Linked DNA regions of Pelodiscus sinensis. The protein of the gene in region 2 interacts with the protein of the main gene of each other region in a biochemical or structural test. Links are inferred from orthologs where the notes say so. Each region holds a gene or a part of one and is shown on either strand. Other genes may lie near its edges. The genes, in order: PIAS1 and SATB1.

Region 1 (3,916 bases), on a different chromosome or scaffold from region 2:
AGTTGTCTGCAGATGTTCACTTCGCTGTCTTGATTTACTTTCGTTTTAAAGATTTTTTTGCAGTTAAGGAGGAAGTCGAGACTTATGATTCATGATTTTCGGGTGCCTAAATTTGAGGATTGGTGTGTAGCACTTTTTGAAAGTCAAGGACTTTAAGGTGTATCAAGTTAGTCATTCAAAGTCATCTGTCACTTAAATCTTGGCTTAAAATTATCATTGAAGGAAGAGCCTAAATTCTGCATAAAATTGATTTCTCAGTCCTTTCGCTCTTTCACCAAGAACATTTTTTTTTTCTCCCAATGTTTTGTGGATAGATGGTCCTACTACCCCAAACTCCTTGGGAATTGTACTGATTACTAACTCATCCTATTAACACTGAAATGACTGATAGTGCCCAAAAGTCTATCATTTTGAACAAGTGACCTAAGAGCAAAAGAGGCTTTTGTCCAAGTTACCAATTCTATTTTATGCTCATGTTCAGTGCTGGAGGATTTAAATACATTTAGTTGTTTGACTCAAAATCAGACATGAGAAGTTGATTTTTTTTTTTTGAGAATTGCTACACGGTGACATAGTATAAACAGGACTGGTTGGAAAACTGGATGGTATAGCTATGATTTTGGACCTTAACATTATGGATACTGGGTAAAATACAGTGTATTATGCTAATCACATAGAATTGTGTAGACATGAATGATATTGGGTGCTGGAGGACATGGAATGATAGGGAAGTGTAATAGATGACTGGGAAACAACTTAGCGTCAGTGCCTGGCCACTGTTTTTAGCAGCCAGTGAAGGAGAAAGTTAAAACCTAGCGTGTTGAGAGAAAGAGAGCATAGAGACTACAGCAGTATGTTAGCAAATCAGGACCATGCTGGTGTCCTGTTCTCATACTGTCCCCAGTCATCTCTGGGCTGAAATTTGAGATCACCTTTGAGACAAACAGTGGAAACTGATATTTCTCAACATTGGTGAGGTTAGTCTTATTATATTCTTATATTCTGGCACTTTTGCTCTTTTTAGAACGGTGATCTTTCCAAATAAGAACATAGCTGAATGAGACGCCTATCTGAGTATCTGGATTCATGCGCCTCTGTGGTAACAGTCATTGCAACGTCAGTAAAAAAAGTTTATTTGTTTTTGTTTGTTTCCTGAAAGTTGTTTTCAAAGGACTAATTCTAATATCCCACTTAAAAAAAACCCATGGTAATGATATATAGTTCATTAGGGTTTCTTGCACCCTCCCCCCAGTTCTCTTTTTAATAGTAAGTCTTATTTAAATTTGCAAAGTGGAAGCCTAAATTTGTATTTAGGAGCAAGGGAATAGATAGATTGCATCAGATCCATAATCCTTCTGCTTGTGTCTCAGCAAGAAACCCTGCAGTGGCAGATACGAGAATCTGCCAATCTAGTAGTTCCTGCAGAGTTTGAATAGTGTGCAGTAAATAAAGCTTGGGTCCATATGTTGAAAAATGAGGAAACAAAATATTGATTACCTACTCACTACATAAACACTATTCAAGATAGGGATGTGAACGTGTATCCAAGTACACGGTTAACAGATGAACCTCTCCGTTACATGCATCTCCTCCTCCCTCTCCCACTGCTGCCTCCAATACAGAGGCAGCATCGTGGGGGAGGGGGGAATTTTAAGCCAGCTTCCTGCGCATACCGGCTCCAGACAAGCCGCCTGTCTTTCCCCCCCAACCTCCCATGCTGCTCCCTTCCACAAAGGCAGCAGTGGGGGGTTCCCCACAAGCCACCTGCATCATGCAGAGCCACCTGCCCCTGTGCTACTGCTTTTTCAGGTATCTAAAAGGATGTCCTAAGGAGGAGGGAGAAAACGTGTTCATTTTGGCCTCTGAGGATAGAACAAGAAGCAATGGTCTTAAACTGCAGCAAGGGAGGTTTAGGTTGGACATTAGGAAAAAGTTCCTAACTGTCAGGGTAGTCACACACTGGAATTCATTGCCCAGGGAGGTTGTGGAATCCCCATCTCTGGAGATATTTAAGAGTAGGTTAGATAAATGTCTATCAGGGTGGTCTAGACAGTATTTGGTCCCCAGTGGTGGGGGGACAGAGATTGTGCTCGCAGGGAGCCAACTTTTAAACTGGCTCCCTGTGAGAATTGGCTCCCACCCTCACATGTGTAAATGTTGTAACTGCTGAAAAATTCAGGGGTTACACGTTTACACAAATGCATGCATTTTAACGTCCCTAATTATAGGATCACATACCATTCTTTGCATAGACCCCCATCCTGCGTTAAAGACTGTATCGTAATGCAAGGCTGGGGGTGCCGACAATCTTAATTTGGGCCCATGTTAACTTTTGAGCGCTTAAGTTTGCAATTTTAATGTCGTTTTAATGGAGGACTTTTAAATTGTGATTTGTAACTTCCTGGGTTTTTTTTCCAAATTGCTTTTTAAAACAAGTTCTATTGTGTGGCATCATATTGACACCCATATTATTGGAACCAATAGTTTTCCCCCCATGCAAACTTCTGCCACTTGAACTAATGGTGGAGGCGAAGAACATGTTACTGCTTTGTGGACCAGCAGTAGAGGATTATGGAAAACTTTGACATGTCTGTCAAATCCACTGTGCTAATAGCAGAGGAGCAGTGAGACTCTAGATTCTTGAATTCTATTCCAGGCTCTGCAGGGGACTTTGCTCTTGTTGACATAGGGCTGGCCCACAACATTTTGGCACCTGAGGTGGGGAGCTCAAATGATGCCCCCATGTCCCCTCGCTTGCCAAAACTTTGAAAGGTCTCAATTCTCTGGGGTCCTAGTGTCAACCCCCCACCCCCAGTCTGGCACCTGATGCAGCCCCTCTGTTCACCTCATGGTAAGGCCAGCCCTGCATTGGCGTGAGTTCTTCTGTTTCCCCTCCGTGCCCCAACATGACTCCTCTGCCCTGTCTCCTTCAACCTATCCCAATCCCTGCTCAGCCAGTCCCAGTTTCACTGCTCAGGCTTCTCATCACAGGCCAGACTCCCGTTCCCGTTCACCGTTCCAGTCTCCTTGCCAGACAGTCCCAAATCTGGGCCCTCCCTGTGCTTCTTCATCTGAAGTGTCTCTCTCCTTCCCTGCCTTGGCCTCAGTAGTGGAACCACAAATGTCATTTTGGGTCACCTAAGGAAGTGAATGTCAAAAATATTTTCATTGTGCTGTATATTGTCCACAAAACACTTCACATATCTTTTGGAAAAGATACATTAGAAAAATCTGCTCCTTATAAAAGATGGGTATTTAAAAAAGTTACAGGTTCGAAAAGGGTTATCTGATTAAATGGCTTAATTAGAGGTAACTTATCATGCTTCCTGGAGATCAGAATGAGTGGTCATTCCCCCACCCTCCGATTATGTAATTTACATAGCTATGACTTTACTAGTGTGTCTGTTTTTTGTGTATATTATCTTTGTATAGTGGGACTGGTTTCCTTTCATTTTAAACATTTAGAAATTGCCACTTTTGTTTGTGTAGTTTTCTGCTTTGCAAGACTAGGTTTTATTGATGAATCAAACAAATAGATATTTCCAATAGGTCTTGAATGTATCTTTTGAAATCACTCTGTCTGGAGAGCCTTTGGTTTAAAGGGGTACTGACAACTTAGAATGTAGTCATTTTTAATGAAGAAGTTAAGTGGTTATTGGTTTGTCACCTGTTCTGCCTGGAGTCTCTTTGCCAGTTTTTATACATTCAAAAAGAATTATGTGGGTTTTTCTGCTCTCCCCTGTATTGTGGAGAAAACAAGGGAAATTGACTACAAAAGAAACAAACTAACACTGATGCTGCTAATTATAGTCATCTTAGGGGTTCCTTATGACAAAAGTAGCCAAACTTATTTAATAGAGGTGATTTTTAAGCTTAGGGTGAGGTTTTCCCTCAGTGAGTATTGGCATTTGAAGGA
Region 2 (3,916 bases):
CCCTTTGGAATTTTGTATTAGAGAATTATGGTGCTTTGAAGACAGCACCTTGTATTTAGTTTAGTACTATTTGTAACCACAAGATCTCTATAATAATACAGGGACAGGTGCTTATCAGGTGACCTTATGGGCCTACACTGCAAACGGTAACCTGTTCAGATAAAAATGATTATTACAATCTTTGGCTAATTAGGGAGATTCTCTCTTTCTTCTTACTCTGCAAATCAACATGTACCATTAACAAATCACAGATTGACTTTGCCTGTTTTATATTTCTCTCTCAGAAATAAGTATCAAGGGGACTTATCCTTAGATAGGTCTTGTTAAAAGAACAGAAGACAAGGAGGAATGCTTGTGGAGTAACTTAGCTATTTAACAGTTCAAGAACAAAGAATATAAAAAAAGAAACTAACTTTTTAAAAATGCATGAACAAAAAACATTCCACTTAAATATTTTTGTCCCAGTAAACTCATTTTGCATACAAAGAACTATTATTTATTACACATTTGCACTTGTGGGGAAAAGGAGGAATGCACTGATTCTAGAAAGAAAATACTATACAGGCTTTTTGGAGACTTCCCTCTATGTTCTTGTTTTACTTAGATTACTGTTTTTCCAGGGAAAAGAGGAATTCCTTGAAGTCAGTTGTTTCTTTTACATTAGCTGTTGGTATTCAGGACGGGGTACAACTGCAGACAATGATTTTATTTTTGTTATAGAGCCTTGTAATGTATGTGGGCTATCAATTGATATGTATATACACAAAACATATGTATGCATACATACGCTATCTTTTTACATTCACTTTTTACTGTACATGTTTACACATTTGTGTATAAAATATTTCCACTTGATAAGGGAGATATTAAAATCTGAAATAGGAAATGTGTATATAAAGTGTATACATAATATTAACACTGTAAGTGTATACGATGCACATTACAGCCACTGTACTATATTCAAGTCTTTACACAGTATGCATACAGTTCAACTTTCTTTATAAAATAATGCACCAGAATTAATATCGTTATATCTGGTGATTGCTTGAAAGACTTGAAGAGATAGGGAAATATCCAATCCAATCCCTGTATTAACTAACATTACAATTTTACACTTATTGTAACCTTTTCTAACAATGTGAGAAAAACAGAGTAAATATATTAAATTTGTTTCACAACAGATGCTTAGGTTGTTAATATTTAAGATGCTTATTCATGCTATTCCTGTCTGCACATTTGTCAAAAATGTAAGCTTGAATGCTAATGTTTGCCAGCATACTGAAGCAGACAAATATATACTAATGTACTATACCAAATGATATAAAGTAGAAATAAAGGGCTGCTGCTAAATCCTGCTGCTAACCCTAGTACTGTCTACTACTAGAACCTTAGAGCTGTTGAATCTGAAATTGTGAATTATTTCCATAGGACAATTACATTAGGTTTGACTGAATAAAACTGATTATTGGCTTTTTCCATTTTTTTCTTCATTTTGGGTGAAAAGCTGTTGTAAAATATTTTAACACAAGTTTTCAATGGGATAATAAGGGTTTCTCTGTCAGTAACCTAAGCACTTTAGATTTCTGGGACTAGCAGTATAAAACTTGGAAACTTGCAGGTGTCTGTCATTGGTTCTTCACCCTAGAACTAATCAAAGATTTCACCAAAAATGTGATTATTAGAGGAAGTTTTCTGTTGGACTTTTAAAAATATCTAAGGTATAAAATACTTGATTTGAATTATTTTCCTTTGAACTAAATGAACCTTATATAGATTGCAAAACGTCGTTTCAAATGAGGCTCTGGGGTCTTTTAAACTTTGGCAGTATCTCGGTGGGACGCTTTGGCTAACGTACTTAAAACTACCAACTTAGGGGGGATTGTCTAAGTGCCTGTTCCCCTGTGGGCCCTTCGCTGCCTCTTCATGGACCAAACCAGATCTGAAATGGAGAACGCCAGGGGAAGGAGGTGCAGAGGAGAAGAGATAGCGTACCTGGGCTTACTGTGCTTCCTCACCACTAAGGTCACTGACACGCCAGCTGCCACGACGCGTGCTGCGAGGAGAAACCTTCCCCTCTCAGAGATCACTGCCAAAGTTGATCTTTTCCGCCTCTCTCCTCCCCCTTCCCCCATGAAGCCTCGCAACACACGGTCTTCAACAACTTTGCGTTTCAGGTTAAACACGTCGGCCAAGTGCCCCTCAACACAACCCAGCCCACGCACGTTTAACAAATGCATCTTCGCAGCGCGCCAAACCCAGGCAACCTGTCGCCAAGGCGGCTGGCACCTCCCGAGCCCAGCGCGTTCTCAGGGGAACGTGGGGGGAAGTTTGCCAAACTTTCAGGGAACTTGCCTTTAGGGGAAGGGGGCTACCGGGCCAGTGACTTCGGCTCTGCCCCTCCGCAGGGGTTCAGCAGCCGGAGCCGAGGCAAGACTCCCCCCGCCCCCACGCACACCCCGCGTTTATGGCACGCAGCCCTGCCAAGGCAGCAGGTGTGTGGAGCCCGGCTCGGGAAGGGCTTCCCCTCCACGCTCCCGAGCAGTGCTCCGACCCACAACGTGACTTAATAAAAGACCCGAGGCGCGCTGGGGGGGGGCGGGAAACCGGAGAAGGAGGAAAAGAGACCTACTCACTCATGAGAGCGCCGCGGGCGAGGCTGGGCGACACCTTCAGCTTCCCAGGCGGCGGCGAAGTTAATCGCGCTGAAGTTCAAGTTGTCTGTTCCCCCATCGGGAGTGGGCGTCTAGAGGACGGAGAGGCGGAGGGGGGGAGCCACGCACGCCCGCCCGCCCCCGTTGCCGAGCAGCTCCTCAGGAGCAGCCGGGGTCGGCAGCAAGGTACCAGCGCGGGGCCGGCGTGTGCCCGGCTTCCTCTCTCTGGAGCCCTTGGGCGGGGAAGGACGCCGGGCGCAGGCTCCAGCGAGCGAGCGGAGCTCGGCCGGAGGCTCCGCACCCGTGCGCCGTGTCTCGCTGCCTCTCTCCCCCTGGCGGACGCTGCTCGCGCCTGTGCCGGAGCCGAGCTGAGCCGCGGCGGCTGCTGCTGCTGCTGCTGCTGCCCTCCCCGGGTGCGCGGTGGCGGCAGAGCCGGGCTAGGGCGGGGAGAGGCTGAGCGCCGGCGTAGAGCGGAGCCGGGAGCCGCAGCCGCGGGAGCCGGGTGTGCGTCTGGCGCTTGCTCGGTCCCCTTCTTCTGGCCGGTGTGTTTTGGGGCTGAGTTGGGGAGAGTGGTTTGTGTGCGCGCGTGTCTCTGCCTCCCCCCGGCTCGCGGTGGAGGAGGAAGTCAGGTGAGAGACAGATAATCCCCTCCCAGCCCCTGTGCGATGGGTAGGAGCTAATCACTGTTGTTGTTGGGCTGCTGCTGGTTGTTGTTTTTAATGCTATTATCTTGCCTCCCCCCCCCCCCTTCCCTCCCATCCGCTCCTGGAGAGCAGCGCCCCTCACAGGAGCACCGATCACCCCCCCCTCCACGCGCGTACACACACACTCTCTTTTTCCTTCCCTCCCCCCTCCCTCCGACTCATTTATTTCAATATTTATACCCCCACATGCTTGGCTGTCAGCTGCTGCTGGCTTCGTGCGAGTGAAAGGATGAGCGAGCAGGGGAGTTTCCGAAAAGGATCTGACAAAGGTGATCAATATTTTAAGGGTCAGATCGCAATTGGGACCGGAGAAGATGGGAAAGCTCAGGGCTCCCTCCCTCTTTCCAGATGGGCCGCGTGCGCGATCCTCTGCCCCGGCCGCCGAGACCCGGGGTGGGGAAAGAACAAGCTGGCGCAGATAAAGTTAATGGAAAGTGTGTGCACGGTGAAGTGACTCTGCAATCTGTATTGAATATGACAGCAGGCAACTTGTATTGACTTTAGATAAAGGAGGAGGGGGGGTGTTGGATTTTTTAGTTTGTGTGGATGTGTGTTTGTTTT

Evidence for each region.
Region 1: the proteins of SATB1 (region 2) and PIAS1 form a complex in vitro, tested with the Homo sapiens proteins (2 studies listed by BioGRID, with this or other methods). The link is inferred for Pelodiscus sinensis from reciprocal best matches to the Homo sapiens genes SATB1 and PIAS1.

What each region holds. Positions count from the first base shown.
Region 1 is NC_134724.1:3,147,828-3,151,743, reverse strand, and holds the start of PIAS1 (E3 SUMO-protein ligase PIAS1), read left to right. Parts: upstream 1-1,024; 5' UTR 1,025-1,086; coding exon 1,087-1,116; intron 1,117-3,916. UniProt on the Homo sapiens protein: Functions as an E3-type small ubiquitin-like modifier (SUMO) ligase, stabilizing the interaction between UBE2I and the substrate, and as a SUMO-tethering factor. Catalyzes sumoylation of various proteins, such as CEBPB, MRE11, MTA1, PTK2 and PML.
Region 2 is NC_134712.1:192,365,172-192,369,087, reverse strand, and holds the start of SATB1 (DNA-binding protein SATB1), read right to left. Parts: upstream 2,769-3,916; 5' UTR 2,638-2,768; coding exon of another isoform or gene 2,634-2,637; intron 1-2,633. UniProt on the Homo sapiens protein: Crucial silencing factor contributing to the initiation of X inactivation mediated by Xist RNA that occurs during embryogenesis and in lymphoma.